Regions from separate parts of the Mus musculus genome. Here regions 1, 3, 4, 5 and 6 are each reported to be linked to region 2. Evidence: microRNA targets listed by miRTarBase, many of them from high-throughput screens and not tested one by one. Region 2 holds a microRNA gene; each other region holds the end of a gene's coding sequence.
Evidence for each region. Region 2 holds the annotated microRNA mmu-miR-3085-3p (UCUGGCUGCUAUGGCCCCCUC, at 3,777-3,797, shown strand). A microRNA usually pairs through its seed, bases 2 to 8, with sites in the 3' UTR of a target mRNA and lowers its output. Matches are read on the target gene's strand: a 7mer-m8 pairs with bases 2 to 8, a 7mer-A1 pairs with bases 2 to 7 and ends in A, and an 8mer does both.

Region 1 (5,086 bases), not on the chromosome of region 2:
TTTATCAGAAGGATGTATGTATGCATTATACAGAAACTTGGAAATATTTTATAGTTATTGCACATTGTACTGGGAGAACTGGGACATTGCTACTTGTGGGTGTCTGTCATGCTCTCTATCCAGTATGAAAAGAAGCTTTGATGAGGGGTGAAAGTTAAACTTCTTTATTTTTAGATTAAAATTCTTTTTAATTTAAAAAGGCATCAGGTTTTAAATACATTAAGAATTGAACTCATATTTTGACCCCATCTCCGAAAATTGTCATTTCTGTTGTTATCTGGTTATTATGTCGTGTATGTATAAAATCAATAAATTGTTCAGGAGTATATATCTGACCATTATGTTACAAAGCAACAGAAATACATAAAATCAAATGAGATGTGCAAATATGCATATATGTATCTCAAACACATGACTTAATAAGGTTTTTTTGATTCAATAGTAAGCTGTAGACAGATAGAGATGCACATTAAAAAAAATTTTTACCATGATCAGGATCCACTACATTGCCTTGCATATAACAGTAGATACTGTATAAGTGGCTTGGTCACTTTCCAAGCAATTATTTCTATTTAGATGTCTTTGCCCAATATGAAAATAATGAATGTGGGTGGGAGATTGTTCATTTTTCTTTCCCCAGCAACTATTTAATGCCTGCATCTTGGCAAGAGCTGCACTTACCTGCAAACATCATGATGTCATTTTCCTTTATCCTGTGGTGTATCTGTGCCACATTTGCATTGCCCGTCCATCACTCGAAGGGCATTTAGGTGGTTCCCCCTCGCTAGCTATGGTGAACAGAGCAGCAATGGACACTGCTAAGCAAGCATCTGTAGGAGGATGTCCTTTGGGCATATGCAGAGGAGTGGATCTGAGTCATGGTAGATTTACTTTTAGCTTTTTGAGCAATATTGAGCATGCATGGTTTCTTATATATGGTCCCCAACTGGTAGAACTATTTGGGAAGGATTAGGAGTTGTTACCTTATTGGATAAGATATGTCACTGGGGTGATCTCTGAGGTGTCAAAAGCACACACCACTACCAGTTAGCTCTCTGCATCATGTTTATTATCTAGATGTAAGCTCTGGGCTACTGCCTCACCGCCATGTTTACCTGCTTGATGTCATACACCTCACCATGATGGTTGTGGGTTTGAAAGACTCCGTGAGGAGCCCCTCGCTCAGGCGTCGGGACAATAGCGGACACCCAAGAACTCATGAGAGACCAGGCTTGATGTAAACCACATGAGGCTTTATTCGGGGAAAGCCAGAGCTCTGGGGACGACTCATATCCCACGCAGGGGTAGAGGATTCGACCACGAGGGGAAAGGCCAGTTTTTATAGGCCCTCAGGGGGGAAAGGAGAAGGGAGGAGTAGGGGGTTTCCAGAACTAAACAATGTCTATTCTCAAGAAATGGGTATGGGAGGGGTACAAGGAAAGAGTCTGGTGCAGGTGTAGCAACTCAGGATTGGCCCGGCTGTGGTTGCTGGGAAGATTTTCCGACTCTTTCTCAGCAACCAATATCACAAACACCTGGCAGTGAGGTGCAGCAGTGGGCACACACCTGGGTTCAAGGAACGGTCAAAACATTGGCAGACACACGGGTTCAAGGAGTGGCCAGAGCATTGTGCACCTCTATTTTTCTAAATCAGTGAAGCTAGTTCTGCTAACAGTGAAATCTATCTTGCCAATTTCAGGGCTTCTGTGACCTTTTACATTCTGTCAGGATCTTTCAGGCTCACCCACTGTAAGGACCAATAAACTCTTTCTCTATAAGTTGCCTGGGTCCTGTTTATGCTAGAACAGCAATTGTAACTAAGATAAAGGCTATTTGGTACTCCACTATACAGGCAATTGATTCACGCTGTCCTGGAGTCTTTGTCCTAGGTTATACTTCTGTGAGTAGTGGGGGTAGCGGCGGGGGAAGGGGGGGAAGTACCCACCATGCATGACAGGTAGACTGGGAGTCTAAAAGTTTACATTTAGTGTAAAAATGTATAAATGTGTTACTTGTATCATTCCATGACACAGAAAATAAGGTGCTTTCCCAGGGTTTATGCTATGATAAAAGGCAACCCCCCCTCTTTTTTATGGAAACAAACGTGTTTTTAACACCATGGTACTATGTCAAGTCTTTATTAAGTAATGTACACATTATTACAGTTAAGAAATTGTTGATGTCCAAAGAACCTTGTATATGTGAAATCTTAACTATACCCTTAACAGAGGGGAGACTACCAGGAAGGTGACTAGGGATAAACTTCACAGGACTAAAGTAGAAAAATATATGAACTTATATCTAAAGGGAAAAAAAGGAGAATTCTACAAAAGTTTACAAGTTAAATGAGAAACACTGTAATAATAAGCATCATAAAAGATGTTCTAGTGACCATAATAGGCATACGGCACATGGTCGATACACATGGATACCACATAATTAATGCACTTCAAGTTGAAGTTTGTTCACTTTGTAACAGTACAGTACGCATACATAAATACATACATACAATAATACCCCTGCAATGCAAAATCCAATACCTAGGAAGGAAAAAAAATTAGTGTAGCATATTCAAAAGAAAATGATTGATGTGCAGCCATCAGAATCAGGGAAACATGGCGTGCCTCGCTTCTGTGGAAGCTGACGAGAAAAGGCCTGTCTACTCAGCAGTCTGTTAGAGGTTGGAGAGGTTTGGTATATTCTAGGAAGTCAATGAATTCTTGTGAATTTCAAATACGGTACTAAGCCCAGGATTCTCTTCTACTTGTTCTCTACCTCTGGCTTCTCTACCAGCTTGGCTTTGTTTCTTCTGACCCCTAGCTCTCAAAGGGCCAAGTTATTCAACAACTGCTGTGGTCACACTGGCCCTAATCCCAGCACTCAAGAGGCTGAGAGCCAGTGGATCTCTGGGAGTCTGAGGGCAGCCTAGTTTACACAGTTAGTTCCAGGCCGGCCAGGAGTATATAGTGAAAACCTGTCTTTGACAGACACAAAAACCAAAATGATATTGAGATATAGATTTCTCCTATAAATTTTGTGAGACCCTCTCTTACTGCTGATAGTCAACTTTTAGTGGATCTCTTCTGCAAATATATAAACCTACAATACCCAAGGCCCCTCACATAAAAATGAACTAAATTTGCATTATATGACTCCATCCTGATATATGACTAAGAATATTCTAGATATTAAGAATATTCAAGATACAACGTAAACCAGACCTCTACTTTTACAGAGCTTTTATGCACCTCAAAACTTTCTTAAAATACTGCTTCCCATGTACATATTTGATGAGTTAAAACTTTCACTACACAGTGAAAATATTCAGTGTTTGTCTTATTAGTTTTTTTAATATTAAATTTGGTTATAAATGAGACACATAGGAAAGAAAAATAGAGAAATTTCTATGCTAACAAATAATTGAAAAGTCAAATGTAGTAAGAATTGAAGGCCCCTTCCAATCCTACCTATTTTTTTGGGTTTTCGAAACAGGGTTTCTCTGTGTAGCCCTGGCTGGCCTCGAACTCAGAAATCCACCTGCCTCTGCCTCCCAAGTGTTGGGATTAAAGGCGTTCACCACCACTGCCCGGCTCCAATCCTACACTTTATCTTATAATTTATCTTTTGAGCTTTCCTTGCCAAATCTGAAACAAAAGCTAAATAACACAAAAATTAAATGATATGCTTAGTGCCACAAACTGGTATGGCGCTTAGCATCTATCTCAACTGTTCACACACATTTTAGCACAGTGGCTACATACATATCCTTTCTCTGCACCCCAGAAAGGTTGCTGAAATACTACTCCTTCCTTAGAAGAAAGATATGCAGTAAGCTCCGAGTTATACCTCAGTGGAATGAAATGTCATGTTTTTCCTTAGCATCTCGCACTGGACTAATGCAGCAGACTGTGGTGGCTCCACACGAACTCAGAGACTAGTGAAGGCTCTCTAACTTCCAAACACTGTCACCTGAAGACACGGGCAGGGCAGCAAATCAGCGTACTTTCAAAGTTTTCTTCTTTCTGAACTCAATATTTACACCTAGATTTCTCACATGAGAAAAGTAAGACAAACCTTCCTTGAACCACGGGTTTAAGTTTACGTAAAATAAATTAAAGTGCAGAAAATTATAACAATTGGTCACAAAGACCAGCATCATAATGCAGCCGGGGTATATAAATACCGAACTTATCATTGTCGTACTGGACAGCCACCTCTCGGTGTCTCAGGAACACACAAACACGTGTGGATTATTAGGCATGGACGTTGGCACTTCCATTTCCACCTCCACCTTCCAGGCCCTCTGCAGACTGGGAGGAAGGAGGGCGCGGGTTTCTGGGGTGGGGCTGGCCACCGAGTCCCACTTGTGTGCTTACACCATGACCTGTTTGCGAAGCTGCATCATCCGATTCCCAGCGCTCCAGCTCTTCCCGCACCAGGCGCTCCATCTGCTCCCTGTGGATCTCACTGTCCCGACCCAGTCGCGCATCCTGACAAGGGATTTAGAGAAACAATGGAAACCAGGGCAGTGTGTGCAGTACGTTATATATTCTACACGGAGAAGGGGTTAGAAATTTTAGGTGAAATGAGCTATAGTAACTCAAGACTGCAGATGGGAACAGTAAACGATAACAATTCTGAGCCAGTGGGATGACTGTTCACTCAGCGGTATCTTCTACCCGGATGGCAGCGCTCTCAGAGGAAGGGGAACCTCATGCCTGCTGATTACTATTTGATCTAAGGCTATATATGGAGGAAGAAAAGCACGGGATTAAGAGTTACAAAATGTGATGTGTTGAGAGTTTTTGGTGTCGCTTCTAGGAATTTGGCATTTGTCACTGGGCTTGAACAAGGAAGTAGGCTCAGATAAGAATGTTAAAAACCATGGCCATGGGGCTTTGTTTACTGCTTTGCCCCTTGTGTGATCTCTCTGCTCTCTACTTGTCTTAATTATTCCCTTGTGTGATCCTTTTGCTTACTACTCTGCTAGATTACTGTCTTGTGTGATCTCCTTGTTTACTACTTCGCTTGATTACTTTGTCTTTGATCTAAGAACTGACCATGTTTTTTGGATGTACCTAGATGA
Region 2 (5,089 bases):
TCCTGGTCTTATCGTTATCCCACTACTCGTGGTCCTTGAAGCAAGTGTTTTCATAGCTGGGATGCAAATAGCTCCTCCAAGTCACCTTTGGCAGATAATTTCTGAATTAGTGTTTGTCTTATCCTTCCTCCCAAAATCCTTCCTCCCAACCAACCCTTTGTCTCTCCCCATTTTTTTTTACCTCCCTGCGCTTTTGTTTGTTTTTTTGCAGCTCAAGTGGCCTTTTTAGGTGGGTACTCATCGGCTGCCTTTAGACTCTCTGAGCCTCTCTCTCAGGCCTCGTATCTTTCTCTAGGCCTGGGACTTTGCCTTCAGTTATATGCACTTTAAATCCCATCAATAAAGGAAAAAAAAATCTAACAACCTTTGTGGAAAACTATATCTCTCCTGCTGCCTACCTCTCTCCACACCCCATAGATCCCGCCATGTGCTCCTTCGAACGGACAGCAGGGGTGGCCATCTTTGAAAAGGGAAGTTTGGGAGATACTGATGGGACCTTAGTTGTTGGTGAAGCCTTTCTTTGCATGTTTTCTGAGAAAACAGAAAAAGGAAAACTATCTCCTCTACCCCACCCCTCCTTCCGTGAGAAGAACCAAGAGAGTCCAGTCATTTCTGTATCTTCGTGAGCTTCTTCTTGTTTTGCCCTTGACAAAGATGGCTCCTGGGTGGTTGCTGGCTCGGTTGATTCAGTAATGTATCCTGTGCCTGCTGATCCGGCCTGTGCTGCTGCTGCTGCTTTGTACAACCTGATTTCCTATGATTACGGAAGCCTTATTGGATTGGTGGTGGCGACGGAAAGGGAAAGGGTGGCCCTTTGGGACTGTTGATAAAAAAAAAATGCTTAAGTTTGAACTTGCTAAGTCTTCCAGCCTCTTTTCTGGAGAAATGATGCCAGTAGACTCTGCTGGATATTAGCCATGGGGGAGGGGGTGTCTGAGCAAGTACATGCTGGTTGGAGTGTTGAATTAGCTGTGACCCTTCCACCAGGGGGTACAAGGAAACAAGTCATGGCGTAAGGGAAGTGCCGTCCTCGGGCCCCAGCCGTGCGGCTGGGTGAAGGAAATACTCGGAGGACCAGACAAGGCACGTGGAGTGGGTGAGGGGCAGGCACGGAGGCAGTGCTGTATCAGTGCAGTATCCTTCCAGGAATTAACGTCTCCGTTCTGGAACCCCATTGCCTTTCCGTAAATGACAAGAGAGTTGGGTCAGTACATCCATACACCCCCTGTTCTCCCCAACTCCCCGCTGCGTGACTGGACATAGGTATGGTGAGTCTCCAGCAGTGCTGGTTTCTAGAAAGAACTTAGCAACTCAGCCTCTGCAATATGCTTGGGAGCCTGGGAGTGCCCGTAGCCAGAGTACTCTTTGGGGATGATGTAACACCACAGAATATGCTCATGACCAGCTCTGCTAGTGAAGGCCCATTATAAATCACAGATATATTCTTCATGGGGGAAAAAAGTCGCTTGAAGATATAATAAAATCATGCTTAAGAATGCAGCAAGCCTTTTAAAAACATATTTAACAAAAAACTACCCTTTCCTGATACCATAATAATATTCCCAATAAATCACCAAATATGAATTCCTTGTAGCTAGCGCTGTGTTTACACTCAGAACCAGAGCCTAAATGAAAAGTTTTAAAATGAAAACAGCTACAATTTCCCTGGGAAGCACATAACAACTTAAAAATCGTTCCAATTCCACCAGCACCGTCCCTACCCATCGACAGGGAATTAAAGATCTGCAAGGGCCCCAGACATGAGACTCAGAGAGATGAAGTGGTGGAGGTCACCCTGCCCAAGGTCACAGAGCCAGCTGGCCCCCCACACCAGGCATGCAGCTCTTCCTGCCATCATGTTAAGGGTGAGCGGCTGTACACTTGCTGCTCAGACCTTTCCCCGTTCACCCCGGAAGCCCTTGCCTTTTCAGACCTGAACAAGTGGATCTGAGATAGTAAGACAAGGAAGACCCAGAGCCCACGGGGACTGGTCGCAAATGCAGCGCAGAGCAGTAGGAAATGACAAGATAGCGAGCTCCATTGACTGGCCACACATGTCAGCATGAGAAATGGGAGTAGGAAAAAATAAAAATAAAAACCAGCGAGACAGCCTGCCAAGGACACCAAGTGTGACGGCCAACTCCAGAGGATGCCTGATCCCTCCCCCCCCCCCACCCCCGGTTGAGTTTCAGGCCACGGGGTCTGGCAGTGCCATTTCATCCTATCTGGTGGGAATGTCAGGGGAGTCAAAGAAAGAAGTTCAAGGCTCCCTAACTGCTGAGAGCAAACTCAGGGTAAGAAGGCTTTCCGTGGCGTTCATTCATTCAACAGCTATTGGCTGAGCCCCTGTTCTGCAACAGGGCCTGGGTAGGGCTCTAGGTTTGTAACAGTGAGTAAAGATAACATGTTTGATACCCCACACGCACACCACCTTCCCTCCAGCTGGATGGAAAAAGCCAAGTATAGTGTGGGAGGGGACTATAAGGGGCTTTCTTAAAAGTCTAGCTAGGTTCTCAGGTTACTGCGCCTGAGAAGCAAACACTATGCATTCATTTATCCGTGTGTCCATTCAGCAAGTGTTGATTAAGGACCTCGTGGGTTTCTCATGAAGAAGGTAACCAGCTCCCCTCAGTGAGAAGGTTAAGTCTCCTACACCCAAGAAGCTTATATTGGAGGAAAAAAATACCAGGTTAAACTTTATGGAAGATGGGCAGACTCTGAACCAACCCAACATCACCTGCCCGCCACTCACCAGGCATCCAGATATTGGAGCTGGGTGCCCCTGGCTCCAGACCTTCATTTCACTTCCTGAGCGTTATCAGCCACGGGTGAGTGGGTGCAAGCTTCAGCAAGGCTTAGGAGGCCACTGTCCCCATCCCCTTAACTCCTCCACTTCCTCATCCTGAGGCTCATGGCCTCTGAGCCCTCGTTGTCCACTTTGGAGCACACACACCCATCTTTCTTCTGTCCCATAGACCCACTTAGGTCCCTGACATCTTTTTTTTAGGTTATGCTCCAAGTTGTAAAAAGTAAAAAAAAAAAAAAAAAATGGAAAAGCCACCTTCAGGGCAGGTGAATAACACATGATCAACTCTAGCCAAGGCAGAAGTGGGATCCTTCCCATCCTTCGTTCCATTTTTCAAGAATACCCCCTCAAAACGATCTTTAACAATTTTAATAGTAATAATAACTACAACAATAATATCGCTTTTACTCTGTCTGATGCAGTCTCCTCCAGGAATGTTCCCCCTCAGAATGACAATAATGGCTTTCAGTGAGTGAGCTCAGCGTGTCTAGGTTGGACATAAACTCTTTACAAGAACCAACTCGCTTAATCCCTGCAGCAATCCCTAGAGGAAGAGGCTATAATTATAGGGGTGGGTTAAGTGGTTCCTCGGGATCACACAGCTGGGATAAGCAAAGGTGGGGTGGCGTCCCAGACAGTCTGGCTGTCTCCCACTAGCATGCTTACCTGCCCTGCCGTGCCTACCCACTTCATTCAGGTAGCCAACTGGTTTGGGCAGAAGCCACAGTCTCTCATCCTTCTCCAAGTCAAGGGCTAAGTGGGAAGGGAGAAACAGAGTTCCCAGAGAGCTGAGAATTGAAGCAATCCTACCAGAGTCACACCAAAGCCTGCAGGAAGAGCAGGCCACACCCACATGGAGAGCGCCCTCACCAGGCCAGCCTGGTCACTTTCTCCAGGTCACCTCCATCACCAACAGTCCCAACTCTGGGAAGGTGCCATTCCGAGGGCCAAGAGTCTGAATATGAGTCACTCTGGCTGCTATGGCCCCCTCCCAGGGCTTGGGCATCACATCCCTACCAAGAAGGCTGGACCAAGCAAGAACTCCAACACAGCCTCTGTTAGAGGAACATGGAGACAGAGAACATTTCATCATTTCATCATCTCAGGGTTCCAGAGATTCCAGACTCCAACTTCAGGAGGACAGTCAAATCCCTCCCCTTACCTCTCTGCCCATGGTCACCGCTGTCTCATTCCTTTTGTAAGCTCAGTAGCCAAGCCACAGGGAGTCAGAAACCTGCCAAGGGCTGAGGTTGTGTTTCCTTGGCAACAGGAACATCCTGGAAGGAGGAAGAAGGAGGCAGGCAGCTAGGGCTAGTTAACAGGACAGATAATCCCACTGTCCTCTGCCCTCAGCAGCTCTGCCCTCTTACACAGCACTGTGGAACAGTGGTTCAGTCAGAGGGTAGACCATCAGAGGAGAAATGAGAAGCAAGAAGACACAAGAGCATCCTCGGGGAGAAGTTAACATTTACGGAATGCCCACTATATGCCAAAAACTGCATAGATGTCTGCATTAATCCTTACTCCATCCTGAAAGGCAAATGTTACTGGTCTACTCTATTACCAAGGAAACTGAGGCTTGGGAAGAACAAGCTACACAGGGTCAGAGTTCACTGAAGTGGCTGACGATGTAATTTAGACCCCAAACTGTCTACTCTGCAGCTTGGGTTCCTAAGCTGTGTGCTTTCAGTTTCCAGGTAATTTGCACCTGAGGGAGTTATGTAACCAACTGGTCACTGATAATCAAATACAGACCACTATGTGCTGCACATTATTCTAGTGGCTTTGGATATTTATCGGTGAACAACACTGGCAACATCTCTTCCATGTTGACATTTGGCAAGGCATGCTCGTATAAACATGACGGTAAAAGTCTTGTGTGTTAGAAAATCCTGAGTGGGGGAAGAGGGGAGACATTAAGGGAGTTTGTGAGCACCTGGGTAGAGGCAAACTGTTACTTTAGGTAGGGTGGGCCAGAGTGCTCAGCCCCTAGAGGAAAAAAAAAAGATATTTAAGATTTAAAGTATTTAAGATTTAAAGTAGGTAAAATATACTTGAATCTCAGTTTCTCGTCTCTAAAATGAGTATGAAGCTTACATTTATTAAACTTGAGTTTTAGCAGTAACGGATACCTCACAGTTATTGTATTAAACTTGCCACAGTGTCTGGCATGGAGTGCACCTCCTATAAATCAGAGATCTCATTATTAATAAATACCACAATTGATGATGGAGCCAGGTTCTATTTGATGTCAAAGCTCCCATGCTCCTCAACAGTTGTGCC
Region 3 (5,089 bases), not on the chromosome of region 2:
TGTACTAAGGTATTTTAGAACATTTTGATTTCTTGTCAACTAGGAACACTCAACAGAGAAAATGAACAATAAAGTGAAAATTAAGACGAAAATTATTTTTTTTAAGTGGTGAAACTTTAGGATTGGAATCCAAATACTTGAAGAGAAGAGAAGCTAGCATTCCTTTACGCGGACTTAGCCAGAATCTGTTGAGTGACTCAGGTGAGGAGACCTGTGACTGAGTGAGTGGAGTGGTACAGTGTGGATCATTACATGTGCTTAAAGCAGTGACATGCTACGTGCTTTGTCTCTTGCAGACCATCAGAAAGACGGCATGCTGGGAGCGTTCCAGCTATCTTCCAAACCCACCGTTCTCCCCTCCTCGTCTTCAGCCTACTTCCCTGGGCAGTTACCAAGTAGTTAATCCAACACCTTTTACTGCTCACCGACAGTTTAGGAATTCAAGTGATTTAACAGACTATTGATAACAAAATCAATTTTTTTCTGGTTCCTGTTAGGTCATTTGGATCCTTTATAATACTGCTGCCATTTACAAATTTAGGAAATTGATAAGGATGCTGAGTAAATGGTATTTTTTTTTCTGTGAACAAAACAGAATGTTTCAAAAAGTCACTGGATTGTATCAGATTCTTACCAGTTGGTCTGCTTAGGGACACTTTATCAAGATACACCTGCAGGGAATATAAACTGAAGACTTGTGATTCATTCGATCATTTTTATTGTAAAAAAAAAAAAATCTTAATCTGCCACCTGAGAGCTGGGAGAGCTTCCACCTGTGACCATTGAGCCTTACATTGACTTTACATTCAGTTCTCATACAACTTTCAAAGTTTTTTTTTTTTTTTTTTTTTTGAGACAGGGTCTATTATTATGTAGTTCAAGCTGTCCTGGAACTGGCTATGTATGTAGACCAGGCTGGCCTCAAACCCAGATCCACCTGCCTCTGTGTCCCAAGACCTAGGACTAAAGCTGTGTACCCACCAAGCCTGAGTTACACAATATATTTGGTTTATAATTTCTCCTCCCAGATGGTCTCCAGTTTCCTACCCACCCAATTTTATGTTCTTTCTCCCTTAAAAAAGAAAATAAAAATAACCAATCAGTAAGATAAAAATATCAAACCAGCCGGGCAGTGGTGGCGCACGCCTTTAATCCCAGCACTCGGGAGGCAGAGGCAGGCGGATTTCTGAGTTGGAGGCCAGCCTGGTCTACAGAGTGAGTTCCAGGACAGCCAGGGCTGTACAGAGAGACCCTGTCTCGAACCCCCTTCCCCCCCCCCAAAAAAAAAATCAAACCCAAAACAGTGTATTCGACCTTGTGCTAGTCAAGTCCTGGGTATGGGCATTTGGAGTTTGGTTGATGTACCTAGTGACACTCTTAAGGATTTTGAGTGAAATTAAGTATTCATAGTGAGTAAATCATTTTCTCTGAAATAATTTTTATATAAAAATCATTGGGACAGTGTATTTACATGACTGAAGTGCTTTAGTCATCTGGGCATTCCATAAAGATCATCAGTGTAATAACACCATAAAAGTTCATGGGACTTTTTATAATATTAAAATTTGTCATCAGTGTTAATAAAGCAGGAGGAGAGTTAACTATTGGAAATTACAACTTCCTCACTATTAAAAACTTCCAAGAACTATTCCTTTGAAATTAAGTAGTTTTAAAAAACAAAATGAAACAAAAAACCAAAAACAACCCTCTATAATCTTAGAGGTCTAATTTTGTTTTCTTGTTGACAACCACCCAAAGGAAATTAAAATTCCAAGACCCCAAAAATCTTATCTGTAAAATGTTAACAATCATGTGATATTTTAAGTTTCAAGGGGCTGAAGAGATGGCTTAGTGATGATCGGCACTAGCTACTCTTTTCAGAGGATGTGGGTTCTAATCCCAGCACCCACATGACAGCTCACAATTTTGTCACCCAGAGTGCATCAGGCATGCATGTGGTTTCTAGGCAAAACATTTATACACATTTTTTTTCAAGTACTTTACACTGTTGCAGACATTTTGAGACAGTGACGTAGAATCTTTAGCCTCACTTTCAGGATGATGGCTATTGCTAGCTGTCTTCAACGAGGGCTGTTATCACAGTTCAGTGATGGGAAGAATATTGCTATAACTACTTGAAAGCACTTATTCTGGAAAGAAGTCTCTCTATGCAGCACAGGACTGTTGTAAATACTATAGAATAAACCTAAGAGCTATGGCAGCCTTTGGAAAGGGATACAAGACATATATAGCTTTTTAGAAGAGATACCCTCCCCTTACTATTTATAAACCTGTTTCCACGATAGGACAGCTCATTTCCACGCAGGGTGTTGGTGACCTGTCTCTGTGCTAAGTGTCCACACACACAGATAGCGCCAACTCTCTGCTCTACCTCTTCTGCTTTTGTCTGAAATTGTTTTGTGTTGTATAACTGTACATGTGTTAACCATCAGAATGTTGCTTTTTGCTATTTCTGAAAGCTGTGACCTTTGTCAATAAAGCACTGAGGCTTGAGCGTTTTATATGCAAGAAGCATGTTTAGGAAATAAAAGACTAACTGTGCTTAGGAAATCAAGCATTTCCGGTTGACCTACACACTTCGTTATTTTTATCTTCAGGCTTTTTGTTTTGTTTTTGGTGAGGTGAGGTGAGGGCAGCAAATGGATTGCAGAAGGTAAGTTAAGGTAAGAGGATTTGTTACTGTAACAAAGCCTAAACCGGCCTTACAGGGAGGGACTCACAGATCAAGACCTTTTTAAAAAGAAAAAAATCATTAAAATATTTAATTTTATTAACAGAATATTTACATTTGAGACCTTATTTAATCATAGTGAATGCTCCAAGTTTAAAAAGCATTAGGCAGTAACCACACACAAGATGAAAACAGTGTAAACTATACAATACTTTATGTACATTTTTACAAAGTAACACTTTTTTAAATAATATAACTGGACACAAAAATATACACTTTAGAGAAATTCACATCAGTAATTGTATAAAGCTCTCTTCTAGGGTCCTGAAAATTTAGGACAAACATTAGCTCTGTAAATAAAGTGTTACTGTGACAGTCCTGAAAGGCCACTATATATATTTATCTACATATAGATATCACATTGACATTTTCAAGGCTACCAGCTTTACTATATAATTTTTAGATTATGTATTCAAGTGTTGAGGTCCTTATGATTATGCAAATATCAAAAGAATAGTGGTATAAGAAGCAGAACAGATTTAAACAGATTGAGCCAGATGGCTAGGCTCTGACCACCCCAATTTGAATTCTAAGTGGCTGATCTTTTCATTCTTCAGAACAGCCGTGAATAATGCTTTAAATAAAATTATGGCAAACAAGCTTGAAACATGATTCTGGTTTTCTACAATTTTCACAAGTTCTTTTAAATGCAAACAATTCTTTACCATTTCTTTTCTAGTGCATCTGCATTAAGGCTTTGAATTATTTGACCCAAGATTTTACAATGACTCAGGTTTTACAAGGTTAAAGCAAACAGGTCCATAACCATCCTGCCTAGTGTCGCTGAGTCAGCACGAGCAGGTAAAGGCTCAACACCTAAGGAAATGGCAGAGACGGAGTTACAGATAGAGCTTTAATTAAAGATGTGTAATAAAACAGTTTAGTGGCAAGAGAGTGGTGCTAATATAAACAAAAGGTTTCTTTTTGAAAGAAAGTGTAACATCTTTGGAAAACTGTCCGGTTCTTTCTTTAGTTCCCACGGAGTTCATGCAAGTATTTCTTAAGACAGTCTTAAAGTACACTGCAGATGGAAATGGAATGTACATCCAGAGCTACAGGTGAAAACTAAGACCTGGGTGCTGCGAGAGAGAGAAGTCTTCCTGATTTCCGTCACACATTCGTGTCCTGGAGTAAAGGTTCTTTGGCCTCTCCTGGCGCTTGTGTACTGTGAGGATGGCTGTGACTGCCACAGTGCTTCCTCCAACTGCTGGACCTTAAACTTAAATTAGTGTGTTCCGGAATAAACAAGGCAACGAGCAGAGCCAGCAGTACCGAACAGGCTCCAAAGAGGAAAGGGGGACCAGGGATGATGGAATTCTGAGGAAGAAACAATAGTTAATGTTTTTTGCACAAATACTCCCCCCAGCCCCCGTCCCCAGCCTCCAATGTCTCAGCAACTGTCTGCTCAGATTTTCTTTTTTTTTTTTTAAAGTCAATGCCTTTATTGAAGCAATAGCTATAAAATCACTTTTCAGGAGAAAAGGTATTTTTATTCTTATTGTAAAATCCTGCCAACAAAAAAATGGCAAAGTGGGCTGGAAAGATAGTTCAGTGGTTAAGAGCGCTGACTGCTCTTCCAGAGGTCCTGAGTTCAATTACAGGCAACCACATGGTGGCTAACAACCATCTGTAATGGGATCTGATGCCCTCTTCTGGTGTGTCTGAGGACAACAATGTGTACTCAAACCTTTAAAAACAAAAATCAAAAACTGGCAAAGTAACTTGGATAACTGTGGGTGGCTTTTAGCACAGAGCCTAAACTACACATGTTAATAATACACCTGTAGAATCGTGTTTCAAAAATAAATACAATGCCACTAACCACAAAAATAAAACATTTTAGCCCAAATCATATTCATTGTGGGCAAAACCCTACAGAAACCCTGTTTCTGTTGTATATGGCCCACAAAATTAAATAGGCTTGCCTGGGGTTCAATTCTTGCTTAATCGAGAAAACTGCAGAGATGTTAGTATTGGCTCAGTGGTCCATGTGGTTTGGGGTTGGTAATTTCAGTTGGGAAATAAAGCAAGCAAGTCAACAAATGTCCACCGTGCGTACATTCCATGTGGCCATAGATGGCAGCTGCCCAGCACTCCAGAAGTCAGAAGGAAAGAAAGTAGCAGGGTGGAATGGAGATGTGGCTGCCATGCCATTAGGCACAAATTGACAAAATGTGGTTTCAGGTGATTTTTTCATTTTAGTTTTTGCAAGATGATACTCGGGAAGAATAGTCTCTTAGGCTTTAGTTATTTTTTTTTTTAAGATTTATTCATTATTATATGTAAGTACTGTAGCTATCTTCAGATACCCCAAAAAAGAGGGTATCAGATCTCATT
Region 4 (5,000 bases), not on the chromosome of region 2:
AACAAAACATAATAGTGAATTTAGTGTTCTTTACAATCTATAGCTTGCTCAAATAAAATTAGATGTGTGGTCTGACTACCTTGTAAAGGAGAGATGAGCCAATGGCATGTCAGCTGTGGCAAGCTGGAGTGGGCTTGTGTGGCTAGGATTCTTAACAGTGGTATCTCTTTATGGCAAATGCCAGCAATGAGGTCCTGCCCCACAATGGAAGCTGCTCCAGGCTGACCTGTGACCCATGCGAAACTGGAGAGGCCCTGAAGTCCTTTAGTTTTGGACTGTCCCACTTTTAACTCTACTGATGGGCTACCTCCTTACCAGTACAGAAATACAGTCATGGAGCTACCTGGAGTCTCATGCTATATACAGTGAGGTCGCTAGAGATATGGGTAGCTGGGCTGCTCTGCACTCAAGTCCAGCCCCGCTGTTAGAGCTAGGCTCCTGGACCTGAAGCAGCGTATGCTCCAGCCAGTTCCCCTAAGAAAAACACCCCGAGAAACCTGAGGGCAAGGTGCCAAGAGTCCCTCATAGTACTGGTTTTCCTTGAGTGGCTCTATGCAAGTCTCACAGAATACTTTAAACAAGAATCAGAGCTTGCTGTGAGTGTGGGCAAGGATATCTTCAGAGTCTGTTGAGTAACCAAAACTTTAAAAGGCATTACTTATTAACATAGTCTTTTTTGTTGTTTAATTTTTAGGCAGTTTTTACTGTGTAAATCTTTTAGAACTCTCTATGTAGACCAGGTTGGTCTTGAACTTAGCCTGCTTCTCTGCCTCCCAAGTGCTAATTAAATGTGTGTGCTACCATGCCTCGCCAACTAATGGTCTTGACATTTGAGAGGGGTTTGCACTGAACACTGCCTTTACATACCTTCAAAAGGGGTATTTTAAAACTCACACAAACTTTGCACAAAAGTTCCTGCACCATGCCTTAGAAATACTTAATATTGCTTGCTCTGATATACAGGAAAGGCTGAGCAAGTGAAGTGCAGGCCATAGGCTGTCCTGTATGTATGCTGGGAGCTCTAATGAGAAAGGCTGTATGAGTCCCTACACTGATAGCCTCTAAGTAGCTTACTAGGTGATGTCATCTTTACAGCATAGCATGAACAGCTAACCCTCCGCTGGCCAAGAGGTAACTACTGACTCTCCACTAGCAGAGTCTGGGGTTTGGGTGTTACTGTTGTCCCTGTAGCTGCCAGCAGACTTTGGTGTGCAGCTTGCACTGGCTTACTTACATGGAGTATGGCATGAGTGGGAAGGCTGCATAGGGCCTCTGGGTGCTTATCCAGCCTGTCTTTGAGAGCCAGGCTTAGTTGGAGGTCAGGTGTGTGGGGCAGGCCTGCAGGAATCTAACTAAGCTGATGCCCTGGTTCACACCCAACAGTGCAGGCTGTGTGCTAGCCAGCTACTTCCCTCGGCGCCAGCTAGGTGGCAGCAGTGAGGCGGTGCTTTCTCTGCAGTTCCAGGGTAGAAAGAAGTCAGCGCACCATCTCCCCCTGTAGAGAGGTTAACAGTAGTACACATTCCTTCAAATATCTTTCATACCCATTTGTTTCCTAGTCAAATCTCTCAGGCTCCCTTTGGACAAATGTTCCAAAGACCACAAGTGTGCTCTCTGTAGTGCTGTAGTTGAACCCCAAATTTTATATATTTTATATCCATGCCCTTAGCCCACCTGTATGTGAGATAGTCTTGCTATGTAGCCCAGACTGACCTTGTACTTTGGAGCGTCAGGTGGTAGGAGTACAGACATGAGTGAGTGCGCCCAGTTCAGTGTTCTGCTAGATCCAATGGAGTTTGCCAACTCTGACCTTTGTTTACACTCAGTGAATGCACACATTCCTAGCGTTCTTCCCTCTGGGGACTCCCTACTTCATGGGGCTCTGGCCTCCTATTATTGTGGCATTGTGGCCACAACCATACTGGAAAAGGTGCAGCCAGTAGCCCTGTGTGGCAGATGTGCTCGGCATCACACGTGCAAAGATGAAGTTTTTTTTTTTTGTTTTTTTTTGTTTTTGTTTTTGTTTTTTTTTTTTGAGACAGGGTTTCTCTGTATAGCCCTGGCTGTCCTGGAACTAACTTTGTAGACCAGGCTGGCCTCGAACTCAGAAATCTGCCTGCCTCTGCCTCCCGAGTGCTGGGATTAAAGGCGTGCACCACCATGCCAGGCTTGCAAGATGTAATTTAAGCATATATTTACATTCACTGTCAAATGGTATGTTCCCTGTAATGGTAGTTTGCTTGTAGATGCTGGTAGACCACAAATGTGTAAAAGAAAGCATGCCACTGACTGACTGTACTGGGAGCAGCCTGTGACTTCTTGATCTACACTACCCATTCTCAGCCAAGCATCCTCTTTTACATATGCCTGAACCAACTCCATTTGCACATTCCATACCTCTTCTCTGAACACACCAACTTCAACTTCTTTCCAGGGAATGGGAAGCCTGTAGAGGGGTCAGGCAAAAGTGAACCTGGCTCAGGGAGTGAGGGAAGGGAATGGACAGAAGACATGTGGCAGTCTAAAATAAACTGCTGCAGTGGGCCGGCAGTTCAGGGACTCAGGAAGACCAACTTCTTGTTTGGTTCATTTTTGCCAGAAGTCACCATCAAGAAAATCAAGATGCACCCTGATCCTGCACATGTTACTGCTCAGACTGGCGTAGACAGTGGGGGATGATCCAGGAATGTCTGCCAGTTCAGCATTTGGCCAACATACCAGATACCCACACGTGAAACAAGCCCTAGAGCAGTGTGTGCTCTATCACAGCAAAAACGAGCCTGCAGTAGGAGCCCTGAGTGACAGATTAGATGGGTGCAGCGTGCCTGTCTCCCAGCCCTTGCCTCTGACATGTAGGTACTTGTACCTTCAGCAAAGTTCATATCCTAGGATTCTGAGGTGAAGAGCAAAAGATCAAGTGTCCTTTTGAATGGTAGGCTTGGCATCTTCCGCAGGCTCTTTGTAGCATCCCAGGAAGCACAAGGCAGGAAGATAATGCAATGGGGCCAGAGGGTCCCAAGGGCAGCAGGATAGCTGCAAGGAAACCGTATGAGAGAACAGGAGTCCTCAACGCACAACCCCAGGCTCCTGAAGGCTAGCCCACTCTGAGCTCAAAGCTTGTTTTAACAGGTCTGACTTGCCCATAATGCTGAAAACATAAATGACCACTGAGCATGTGCCAGAGTGGAACTTAAAAACGTGTGAAAAGGGGAGCCCAGGGCTTGCCTGCTGGTCAGTGGCACACTTTGGTATGTAACAAATCCGTTATCTTGAAGTTTCGACCTGCCTGTCTATTAGGCCAGCTAGACCTTGTACGTCAACTCATGTAGAACCTTTAGGGGACTCATGAGTTGAATTTGTACGCTCAGAGACCATCCATCTGACCCACTTAACACTAACAAGCCAGGACTAAGAAGCCAGATCGCATATCTAGCTATGAGGCTATTGCCTCTCCCATCTGACATGGGGACTCCTGTGTGCTGCATCTTACAGTATGAATGTTTTCTTATGAGAATAGAGAAAAATGTTTTTGTTGGTTTGTTTTTTAAAGAAAATGCTGCAGACTGCTTTGGGTAGTTTCAGGTCCTGTTCAGCTAGAAAAGCAGAGTTAGCACAGGCTCCCTGTCAATGGCTCCATGAGAAGCAGACAATTCAAGGGACCCTTCCAGAGCCCAGACTAACGAGGGTCCTGAGCACACACTGCTGCTATCACCAGTCCTGACAGTCTGTCTTTGCACACGGGCTTCTCCTCACCCTGCCAAGCAGCATGGCAGCTTCTTTTCAGACAGATTAAACCCCAGCAATGTTCCCCTCCAGAGGACTTTGAGGACCCATCACACTTGACAAGTCTGAAGCTTCAGGCTGCAAGTCACTCTTCCGGGCCACCAGAAGACCAGGATTAGCACAGCAAGGGAGGCACGAGCGGAGGAAGGAATGAGAGGGGCCGGGGCTTTTGTGCAAGATTTAATAAAAAACCAAAATAGGAATGGTTGCTTTCAACATTTTCCAGGTTGTGAAGGATTTGCCGGATTATCTGGGTATGGTTCTAAGCTGCATCAGTGGCCAGGTACAAAATGCTGTCCCCCTCCCACATCAAAAGGAAGTGGGCCAGGCTGGACACTTTCCTAGGCCCCTCAGAAATCAGGCCAGCCTACAACATTCGGTGGCTCTGCTCTGACCATCAAGGGTGGTGCTCCGCTGTGTGCGGCAGAGCAGAGCCACTGGCAGGTCCCCACATGTGCACTCTGAGGCAGGGCTAGCTTATTAACAGGCTGCTGTGCCTTAATACTGACAGTGAGTGTGCTGGGAGGACAAGGGGGCTGCTCAGGTATCAGCGGGGAAACCGTCCCACTCTACTGCTTGCGCGTGACTAATCTGAGAATACCATGGGAAAAAAGCTGTGATAAAGACAACAGGAAGTTGGAATTGACAGGGAGGGACTGGAGCAAGCACCCCACAGCAGTCTCTCATGCATCCATCCCCACAGTTAATGACAGCAACAATGAGATGCACAGGTGAAGATGAAAACCACGCTTGGCTTGTGCTGCCACCAGCTGGGAAGGATGTGTCAGTGGAATGGATGCAGCTAATCTTTCTTCAAGTCCCTGGATTCAAAGAGCTTCAAGCGCTCCTGCACCGTCAGGCCTTCCTTCAGACTCTGGTGGAGACAGAGAGGAAGGAGCAGTTAGGTGTTGGTGCAGCAGGCGTAGTGGGCTTCAGTAGCAGGTGCAGGCGAGGGATCCTGAGATTAGTGGGCATGCGAGGGCAGAAGCCCTGAGAGAATCCCTGGAGAAGTAGTGTGACTGGGATTTGCTTTTTCCTGTAAAAATGTACTTGGGTGAGAAAGGGGAAAATAATAAAGAGAAACAAGACCATGTGTCATAGCTCAGTTCTAGCTTAGGGTTGGTTCTTCAGACAAAACCACGAAACACTTGGGTGGAGGACTGGAAACCTGGGCACCTATCATTCTTCCTATATATGGAATGTGCATGTCTCATTCC
Region 5 (5,089 bases), not on the chromosome of region 2:
ATCAGTTGGTCTCTGTCTTATTCTAGTGAAGGGTTTTGAAGAAGTCCTTCCTTATGGCTGTCATGACTTAAAGGCATCAAATGGCCCCCACACGATCATTCTAGGGTACAGCCTGACTTTCATGGGTAATTATTCTCATCTTTGGGCGTGGCCTCTCTGTCTGGTGGTCTTCTGCTGTGCTGGGAATCCAAGATGACTTCTGGAGGTCAGATTAAGGACATTGATTTCTGTCTCTGTCTCTTTAGCCTGGAGACAGGGACCAAAAGAAGGCAGAGGTGCTCGGCTTTCATTTTTTAGTTATCTTGAAGGCCCAAGGGGAAAAACCAAAAACAAATGTTTGCTTTTTAACAAAACAACTTCCAAGAGCACGTTTTAGCCCCGCCTCCTCTGGGGGTACCAGCTGCTTCTTTGGTCACTTTCACATCTTTAACACAAAGGGCTTCTTTCTTTCTCAACCCGGGAAGTCCCAACCCCGGAAGTCCCGACCCCGGAAGTCTGACTCTGGCTTCTAACCAGTTCCAGGTGATTCTAAGTAGGGCCTCTGTTAGCTTTCCAGGATCCAAACAAAGCAAATTCCTTTCTGTTCCTGAGGATCCCTCCTACTGTGGTTTGGATGTAAAAAGTTCCCTTAGGTTCATATATCTGAACACTTCGTCCTCGGCCGGTGGGGCTGGCTTGAAGGACTGTGAAATCTTAAGGGAGAAAAGTCCTGCTAAAAAGAGTGGGTCTCTGAGGTTTCATAGCCTAGCCCACTTCCTGTCCAATGTCTGCTCTCTGCTGGCAGGCTCAGCACGACCAGCAACCTCATGTGCCTGCTACCATGTTTCCCTCTCCTTGATGGAGTAGATGCATCTCCTCTTAGAGTGTGTGTCCAAATAAATCCTTCTTTTCCCAGGTTGCTTCTTGACACAGGTATCTGGTCATAGCAACAAGTCACTAACCCCTTCCCCCTATGGATTCTCCTTTCAGTTGTTTTCAATCTTTATGACACGCCTCATCAAGTCTTTTCATTTGTCTTACCCTTTTTAAAAAAATCTTATTCTTTGATCATTGTGTGCACGCATGGTATGTCTGTGTGTGTACATGCCACGGGGAGCATGTGGAGGTCAGAGGACAACTTTACTGATTTCTCTCCATCCACCTTAAAAAAAAAGTATGTGTATGACTATTTTGCCTGCATGTATGTCTGTGTCTCACATGCATGTCTGGTGCATGTAGAGGCCAGAAGAGGGCATCAGATCCCCTGGAAATGGGGGATCCAATTGGTTGTAAACCACCATGTGGGTACAGGGAATCTGACCAAGGTCCTCTGCAAGAGCAGCCAGGGCTCTTAACGGCTGAGCCATCTCTCCATCCATCTTCCACTTTGTCAGTCTTTGCCTACTGAGCCATCTCTCTGGCCCACTTTCCTTGTTTTCTTCATGTCAAGACATAATCAAAACTGAGTTGTCTCTCTGCTCTCCTCTGTCTCATGTGTTAGTTGTTGTACAAGCTTTCCTGTCTTGCCAGTTCCTGCCTCTGAAGGCAGTAGAGAGTACCAAAGTCAAACCTGGAATTGAAGGTTCCCCTCACTGTTTCCCCATGCCACATATTCCTTCAGAGCCTAATTTCTTATCAGTGCATTGATATGTGAGCCTGGGCAAGACCCACTGGCTGGCTGCATTGTAGCCTTGACAGGGGCCATACGGCTTTTCCCCCATCTACAGAATACAAGTCTTGCTCAAAGGTCCTACTGAAGCATGTTTACCCTGGACCCTAAGCAGAGGTAGTCAGTATCTCCTATGCTCAGCAGTGTGTCGTCCCTTATGCTTCTAGAAAGCCAAGTAATACATGGGTTTTCATGCTGGTTGCTAAGCTTAAGTCCCTGGCCCATGGAGTACAAGCAATGTTATTTGTTGACCTGTCACTCACCCACCCATTCATCCTGGTTATCATTCTGAGACAGTCATGTACACAAACCTGAACATCACTGAACTTCCATACGGAAGCACCCATGCGTGTCACAGGCACTACACAGACACTGTAAATCCCAAAGACACCCAATACTCTGCTGCTGCTCTGGGTATGTGATAAATTGTGTCTTTGACTGTTTTTCTTTGAAAGTTCTGGGGCTCATTAACCATTGAGTTGTTGTCTAATAAATATGTTGAATAAATGAGCTGACTCCTAGAAACCAATGGGAGGCTGTGTTGGGGTCTGTCTCCCAATTGTAAAGGTATCAGTTACAGATAGTTTAAAATACTCTACCATACAAAGCATTTTCAGCATAGATGTGCACACACCAGCACAGCCCAGCAGAAGCATGCAGTAGTACTGTAGGAAGGCAGTCCCGGACACCACAGTATGTTTCTGCTGTGACTGAGCCTTGCGAGCCCCATGTGTGACCGTCATAAGCCAACTTTGCTGAGTTGGATCTTTCCTCTCCTCTTCATGTGGGTTCCATGATGACTCAGGCCATCACACTTATGTAGCAAAATCTTTTACTGGGTGAGCCACTTTGCTTCCCTCCTCCCCAAGCTATCCTTTGCATACACCATGTGTGTCACAGAATCTTGTTCACCTACCTTCAAACCTTGTATGTCCAAAAACAGATGATAGAAGACCTGGGCAGATCCTCTCAGTGAAGCCACCTTAACACCTTAAATGTCCCAACCTTGAGGTGAAGTGCTCACTCAATGGCAAAATGGCCTACGTGACAATAACCATAAGATCACAAAGGCCCAGTTTGCTTTAAAGTCTTTATTATCCTGAATATAAAAGACAGAAGTCCTCTAGGATATAACAGAGTTTTTTTTTTTTTAAATGTGGAAACATTATTTTTTTTACAAGTGAAAAAATAAATACCTCTTGGAATAAAGGCTTATATGCTAATATGTGCCATAAAAAAGTAGAGTTTTAATATCTGACAAAATGTCTGTGCAAAGAAACAAATGCATAAACACATTACTGCTACATTAAGGCAATATGAAACGTAGACTCAGAAATCTCAGTAAAGTGACAGTGTAGGCTTCTAGCTTTAACTTAGCTAGTATTGCACCCGATGAGGTCAGCTAGGTTTCCTGACACCCTAGAAAACCCCCTAGCTCACTAGCTTCCAAAATGCCCAAGTGGGGGTGAAAACTTAGAATATGGAAACATAAAGAAGTAGCCCTACCTCTGGAAGACACCGAGGGGGCAGGACAATGAGTATGGAAGCACTGACATAGGAAAACTCGAACAACGAGAAACAAGACATACACAAAAAGGAGACACTATCTAGAAACCTATAAGGCTGTAGAAAGTTTGATCTTCAAGCAAGGCGACACCCATGGGTGCAGCTGGAGTGAGTGCTTGGGAAAGTGAAGAACCACTCGGGCATACTGAGTGGCTCTCTGGCTCATCTCTCTCTCTCTCTCTCTCTCTCTCTCTCTCTCTCTCTCTCTCTCTCTCTCTCATCTTTTTCCTTCAAGGAAGCTACTCTCGCTTTCCAATCTCCAAAGCCCAGGGAGTGCTTGACTCTACCATGTATGTCTCTTAACCAAACTGGTAGCATTTTTATCAGTGAAAGGCATGGGGTGTGGAATGAGGGGAAACGGAAGGGCTCTAGGAAGGAAGTCACCCACGGTGAGTTACCTATTGGCTCTCAGCCAGACTGCTTCCAATCTGACAACATTGCTGTCAACCCTTGGGAAGTCACAGGATTGCTTTTTTTTTTTCAATCTGCCAGCTTTTCCAGTTGTTCTTGAATGAGTTATAAAGACAGAAATGACTTTTATAATGAGGACTATTTCTTTAAGAAAAAAAATCCCTATTAAAAATATTCAGCGCTCCATGACCATACAAAAAGAACCAAGGAAATCCTTAAAACACTTACAAAATCTGCTGCCCGGGGAAAAAGTGAAGGAGACATATGACGTCATTTCCTAAAAGGTGCCCACGGTTGGGCCATGTTGCCACTTGACTGACGAAGACGATTCTATCTACTCCTTTACTTGATCATTAAAAAAAAAAACCAACCCTAAAGTTCAAGGAATGTGTCCGTGTCCCAGAGTTCTTCCTGGTGGCCATGGGGCCTGTTGCTTCTCCTCACGGAAGAGGTGTGGTCACATTCTTGTTTTCTTTTCCTCCTTGTTTCTGAAAATGTCTCATGGCAGATGGGTGTTGAGAGTGAAATAGCTCTTCACAAAGTTATTATTCTTATAGTTTACAATACTGCAGCTTGTGGGGACATGGCTTGTCCATCGAGTGCAGGACGCATCAGATGACAGTCAGATTGAGGAGACTGGTGTGGGTGGGCAGGTAGACGTGCTGGACATGCTCCACACGGGATCTGCAGACCGGACAGGACTGCAAAAGAAGCCACCACTGGTTAGGACATTTGTGGGACCTGGGAGTTCAGCCTTGGTGCCCCGACAGTCAGTTTTCTAGATACGACGCCACTGTGATCCAGTTCTAAGCTTTCAAGTGCTCTGGAACAGGCTTGAATATTTATACTTTATACAGATTAACAACGAATGTTAGGAAAAGACATCCACTGAAGAAAACTATTTTCTGTCAAACTGTGTGTGCGTGCGTGTGTGCGTGTGCATGTGTGCATGTGTGTATGTGTGACCAATGGTCATCCTCGTGTGTCAGTTCTCAAAGACCTCAACCTGTTTCTGGACACAGGGTCTCTCAGATGGAGAACACTGGTTAAGCTGGTCTGGCTGGTATTCGAGCCCTGTCGTTCCTGCCTTTCCTCTACCTCCTTTGCTAACACTAGGATTAAAAATCCCTGCAGCTGTTTCAACCCTGACCCCCCCACACACACAGCTTTTTAACTAGAAGGCTCTAGGGACTGAACTCAGATCCCTGTGCCCTGCAACACAGAGAGTTTATTGGTCCAGCCACCTCCCTAGCCCTTCTGTTAGCATCAGTCTTCCTTTTGTCCAGGCTGGAGCCATGCATACAGGAAGAGGTCCCTGTACCTCTGGCCACCATGGTGGAGGTATGTCTGTAGAGAGACCTTAGTTCAACTATCTTGGGGTCATTATCAGTGGGCAGATGCCCTTGTGGCCAGGGGCAACAAGCTTCTAGTGGCTTTTTGGCACACACCCTTCATTGGCTACTA
Region 6 (5,089 bases), not on the chromosome of region 2:
GCACTGTCCCAAGCCACTCTTCTTTCCACATGGCTTAGAGAGATGCTCTAAGTTTGGTGTCCCATCACATGGTATAACTTGTCTCACAGTAAATACTCTCATATGTATGAGGGTTATATGTGTATGTTCTTCTCAAAATATATATTTATATAACCTGTTCCAACATAGCGCAGACTATAGAGTTAACATTAACAATTGAGGGTTATTGCACTAGATAATTTAGTTCCAGTAACACTAGTAATGTAGCCTACAATACTGACATGTAGACTACATGTACTGACAACTCAAAACTGATTCTGGGTCAAATAGTAAACAGAAAAAGAACTGTGTGAACCCACAAACACCCTAACAAATTCATGGGGAAAAAGTGCTTGTGTGACAGAGATGACAATCTCTGTCCACGGGAGAACTAGAACCAGTGGACCCAATCACTACGGTCACATTCCCCAACTGCTCCTGAGTTATTCAGAATACCCAAAGAATCACTGTTGGGTCTAGATCACAGACATCAGCTTCTAGTGTTACTGTAGGGAGCTCACCTTAAGACACCCAGTAGGGCCAGTCCCTTAACAACAGACTTGAGTTTGCATTAACACACAAGAACAAAAAGGGTCAGAAAGTTCACGGGGCACTTTAGCCAGTCGCACCTCGTGTCCTGACTTTACCACGTAGCAACCAGGAAGGAAACATTAGCTACATCCGTGTACCCTGCTGTTCTGAGATTTCCGGTTAACCATGGCAAAGTCAGGTACTCGATAGTTCTTAGGTAGCTGGCTTGCTTTTGATGGATATTAGTGACACACACTTAAAATCACAGCCCTGGGGAGGCCAAGGTAGGTGAGAGTCACAAGCTGGAGGCCAGCCTGGGCTCCATAGTGAGATCCTGTCTCAATGACCAGACAAGGCAGATTCGTCCCGCTGGACTTGACTTTCGAGGTGATCACACTAACAAATGAGAGGATGTGCCCGTTCTTTTGAGTTGGATCTGATACTGTGGCTTATTTGCCTCCAGAACCGAAAAAAAAAAAAAAAAAACAGTTCCAACATGTTATGAAAGGGTTTGCATTTTAGAAAGTTAAATGTTCTTGACTTGATACACACTTTAATTATCTTCTATTTCTGGTTTAAAACAGGATTGTTCTAGATTTCAGGAGAGGGAATGATGTTGCCTTCCACTTTAACCCCCGCTTCAATGAGAACAACAGGAGAGTCATTGTGTGTAACACGAAGCAGGACAATAACTGGGGAAAGGAAGAAAGACAGTCAGCCTTCCCCTTTGAGAGTGGCAAACCATTCAAAGTAAGTTGGGGCTTTGGCTGTATGCGCACAGCGTTCTCTTACCAAGGGGAATCACGGAAAAACCTGTCCTAGGCACCTGGCCAATCTTCCTCCCCACCCCAGCAACCAGCCTCAACAGGCTAGGGCTGAGGCAGGAGCAGCGTGTCCTTCAGCTCCTTCAGGAGCCTCCCCATTGCCACGGGCACCTCTCCAAACAATCTTCCAATAGCGCATCGCTGGTCTCTATCACAAAAGTCCACTTACAGGATTTAAGGATGAATGTTCATTAACTACGGGAAAAAGTATTTCCCAGCCTTCCCAAAACTGGCTATAAATTTGTCATTAAGGGATTCCTTCCTATGTTGCTGTTTTTAACTTTTGGTATTATGGACCCATTAAGCTTTTGGGTTGGTTTTTGTTGAGAAAATAGGGTTTCTTTCTGTAGCCCTGGTTGTCCAGGTACTCAGAGATCTGCCTCCTGAGTGCTTCTGATAACTTTGATATCTTTTTATTGTGTTTTAGATCGGACAATGTAGATTCATTTTTGCTATCCAGCTACTGCTCTGGGTCATTTTCATTCCAGAAGTAAAAGTAAAAATGAAACTTCCTGAACTAAGGATACACTGGTTTAGGAATCAATATATATTTCCTTTACATAAAAATGGCAGATGAAAACAAAACACGGCAGACAGTATGTCCTGGGAAACACACATGGTGGAATGCCTAAATTGTACTGGTTATTATATGCTTTTGACGGTTTCCCATGTTTGGTTCCTAGATACAAGTCCTGGTTGAAGCTGACCACTTCAAGGTTGCGGTCAACGATGCTCACCTACTGCAGTACAACCATCGGATGAAGAACCTCCGGGAAATCAGCCAACTGGGGATCAGTGGTGACATAACCCTCACCAGCGCTAACCACGCCATGATCTAAGCCAGAAGGGGCGGCACCGAAACCGGCCCTGTGTGCCTTAGGAGTGGGAAACTTTGCATTTCTCTCTCCTTATCCTTCTTGTAAGACATCCATTTAATAAAGTCTCATGCTGAGAGATACCCATCGCTTTGGGGGTTTTTATGATACTGGATGTCAAATCTTAGGACTGCTCGTGACTGCTAGGCAAGTGTTCTCTCACTGAGCTACACATCCCTAGCCTTTTAAACTTTGTGTGTTGTGTGTCTGTGCACATGGGTACAGGTGCCTGCTCACTTGAGAGGCACCAGGCCTCCTGGAGCTGGAGTTACAGGTGGTTGTAAGTAAGCTGTGTGACCAGGTTGCTGGGAACCAGTCTCAGATCCTCCTGAGACAGGTCAGGTCCACTGATGCCTCCAGCTGCCTGTCTTTATATGCCCTTTGATTTGGTGCAGTTTTATATAAAGGGAACTATGTAATTATCAATAAACCATCCTGATTTTTACAAAGGAAATACGCTGAATGGCGCCAGCTCAACAGCAGACAGTTACCGTCGGCATCTGGGGAGAGTTGTGTTGCTTAGCGCTGCTCGGCGATTCCAAGGAAAGATCAAAGGGTGCACTTACACAACCCTAGATAAGGGCCAATCAGGAACAGGAAAGAACGACGTGAGGCTGCTGCCAGTGCTGACCCTGCACACTGTCTTCCAGCATTATTCTGTACCATGCAGACTCTGCTCTATACGACTGGGAGCAGGTCGCTCACACCAGCATCACTGCAATTATGGGACAATCAGGTATATAGTCCTGAACTATCTGTTGTGGAGGCTGGTCTTAAACCCATTTTTCCTGTAAAGCCCCAGGTTATTGCCTTCAAATGAGTACTCAACACCATTAAGACTGTGTCTTGGTTTTCATGTCCATTCTCATACCTAACACTTTCTATCTTTCCTATTATCAGTAAGCTCAAAGTAGGAAAAGGTCAAAAGTCTTGTTCTACAACGTTATCTTCTCGATTAGTTTAAACTGGTGAATGTCACAAGCTGGCGTCCCAGGAAAACAGAAATCAAGAGGTCTGTAAGAACAAGCACTTGCAATTGCAACTGATGGGACAAGAATGTACAGAGAGCTGGGTCTCTCCTTCCAGAATGTAGGTTCCGGGCATTGCTCTCAGGTTTGGTGTCCTTACCCACCAGGCAATTTCTCCACCCATAACTTTCCGTCATCCATTAGCAAGCTGTTCCATGCCGCCTCAGGTTTTGGTAAGGGGGGGCATTTTATGAACATTCCTCTATGCAAACTCCTCAAGTAACCTTCCAGTAAGTTGTTTGGGTGTCATGATAAGCACCATCTTTCCCCAAAGCCAAACACACCTACTTCTGACGTCAAAAGTAGACTAAACTTTCTCTTGAAAATGTCTAACCCTAAACCTGTAAGGTTCCTATTCTGTGTGGAATGTCTCCTTCCAAAGCACTCAGGCCAAATTATAACACAGGAAACACGGGGAACACAGGGTAGGGCTGTTAGCTTTTGCTACTGTTTGCTGTTGGTAGCACTGAGTTGTCACTTATGTTCTACTGTATGTATGAATGTATGATGTATGTATGTATGTATGTATGTGCGTGGGGGGAGGGGAAGGGCTGAAATATGCCACAACATGAAGGTGGTGTCAGAGGACAGTGCCTTTCTCTGAGCCATCTCCTTCCCGTATCAGCAGTGTTTTACGGTCATGACGCTAAGGGATTATAAAATCAGAGCTGGAGTAGCGACTCAGCCAAGTGCACACACTGCTCTTCCAGAGGACTGGCTTTCCAGCGCCCATGTGAAATAGCTCACAGCATCCTGAAATTCCAGATTTTTTTGTAAAGATTCTTCTCTCTTTCATCCTTGTCCATGGCAGCTAGCTCTGTTAAAGGGGAAATTACCAGAGGCAGCAAGGATTGAACAGTGTAACTATAATCAGTGCACTTCATGATTCAGGAAACCTTATCTAAAGGAATACAGGAAAACCAAACTATCCTGATGTCAACAGATACAGGTGCTCAAATGAAAATCTATAAAATGAGCCGGCAGATGCAAAACTATCTCACTTTATCAGAGAATTAACAATGCGAAGAAAAGAATGTTTGTTTGTTTGTTTATTTATTTATTTATTTATTTTGGTTTTTCGAGACAGGGTTTCTCTGTATAGTCCTGGCTGTCCTGGAACTCACTCTGTAGACCAGGCTGGCCTCGAACTCAGAAATCCGCCTGCCTCTACCTCCCGGAGTGCTGGGATTAAAGGCGAGCACTGAATGTTTATTTAAATTAATATTAAAAGTCATGTTAAATTTAAAGCCCTCCTGGTGTTCCCTTCAGGGTCATAGTGGTGAGAAGAGAATGAGGTCACCTCCAAAGGAGAACTGTCTGCTGCGATCTGGCTGTCTGGTCTCCTCCCGAGTGCAGGGGCTGGTGCAGCTGAGGCCTGGCTAAAGAACACAGCAGAGCAGTCAAGGAATCCACCATCGAGTGTGGCCCCAAATAAGCTTTTTACACCCTTAGTTAACTGAGTGCCAAGGAGTAAGTAACTTTCCCTATGTAACAATGAAATTATTAACAGCGTAAGACCTAATGTAAAGGATTTTTGTTTTTTATGTGCACCACCATAGCAGGCGGATCTCAAGCTGCCAGCCTGGTCTACAGAGTGAGTTATAGGACACCCAAAGCTACACACACAAATCCTGTCTCACCTCCTGAGCCCCCAGTGAAGACCCGCAGCAGAGCACAGCTGGAGTAAAGAATTTCAGGGTGAAGACCACCAAGGAGGATGGCGATGGGGACAGACCCCGCCCACCACGTCCTGGCTGCAGCAGAAGCAACAGCTTTATGTTGTTCTTTCTCTCTCTCTCTCTCTCTCTTTCTT

Region 1: miRTarBase lists Pkd2 as a target of mmu-miR-3085-3p. Seed matches in the 3' UTR shown: 7mer-m8 at 3,510-3,516 and 7mer-A1 at 2,777-2,783.
Region 3: the mRNA of Sass6 is a reported target of mmu-miR-3085-3p. Seed matches in the 3' UTR shown: 7mer-m8 at 1,229-1,235.
Region 4: the mRNA of Mprip is a reported target of mmu-miR-3085-3p. Seed matches in the 3' UTR shown: 7mer-m8 at 2,060-2,066.
Region 5: miRTarBase lists Mylip as a target of mmu-miR-3085-3p. Seed matches in the 3' UTR shown: 7mer-A1 at 3,371-3,377.
Region 6: the mRNA of Dlgap5 is a reported target of mmu-miR-3085-3p. Seed matches in the 3' UTR shown: 7mer-m8 at 4,381-4,387.

Annotation. Positions count from the first base shown.
Region 1 is chr5:104,502,856-104,507,941 of GRCm38, reverse strand. It overlaps Pkd2 (polycystin 2, transient receptor potential cation channel), which reads right to left. Exons shown (of 15, transcript NM_008861.3): 15 at 2,123-4,490. The coding sequence ends at 4,254. Among named protein-coding and RNA genes, the nearest start is that of Thoc2l, 3.0 kb to the left of the region's middle.
Region 2 is chr19:42,278,803-42,283,891 of GRCm38, reverse strand. Mir3085 (microRNA 3085) reads left to right here and starts at 3,722; the gene lies at 3,722-3,810. It overlaps Crtac1 (cartilage acidic protein 1), which reads left to right. Exons shown (of 15, transcript NM_145123.5): 15 at 212-857. The coding sequence ends at 330. Gm34347 (a long non-coding RNA gene) reads right to left here. Exons shown (of 3, transcript XR_386718.4): 1 at 3,969-5,089.
Region 3 is chr3:116,628,412-116,633,500 of GRCm38, forward strand. It overlaps Sass6 (SAS-6 centriolar assembly protein), which reads left to right. Exons shown (of 17, transcript NM_028349.3): 16 at 107-201; 17 at 297-2,575. The coding sequence ends at 403. Mfsd14a (major facilitator superfamily domain containing 14A) reads right to left here. Exons shown (of 12, transcript NM_008246.2): 12 at 2,753-4,069. The coding sequence ends at 3,863. Among named protein-coding and RNA genes, the nearest start is that of Trmt13, 16 kb to the left of the region's middle.
Region 4 is chr11:59,775,173-59,780,172 of GRCm38, reverse strand. It overlaps Mprip (myosin phosphatase Rho interacting protein), which reads right to left. Exons shown (of 24, transcript NM_001368931.1): 24 at 1-4,657. The coding sequence ends at 4,586. Among named protein-coding and RNA genes, the nearest start is that of Gm51899, 8.4 kb to the right of the region's middle.
Region 5 is chr13:45,409,658-45,414,746 of GRCm38, reverse strand. Mylip (myosin regulatory light chain interacting protein) reads right to left here. Exons shown (of 7, transcript NM_153789.3): 7 at 2,807-4,326. The coding sequence ends at 4,237. Among named protein-coding and RNA genes, the nearest start is that of Mylip, 22 kb to the right of the region's middle.
Region 6 is chr14:47,383,469-47,388,557 of GRCm38, forward strand. Dlgap5 (DLG associated protein 5) reads right to left here. Exons shown (of 19, transcript NM_144553.2): 19 at 4,311-4,655. The coding sequence ends at 4,548. Lgals3 (lectin, galactose binding, soluble 3) reads left to right here. Exons shown (of 6, transcript NM_010705.3): 5 at 1,134-1,299; 6 at 2,057-2,699. The coding sequence ends at 2,212. Among named protein-coding and RNA genes, the nearest start is that of Lgals3, 12 kb to the left of the region's middle.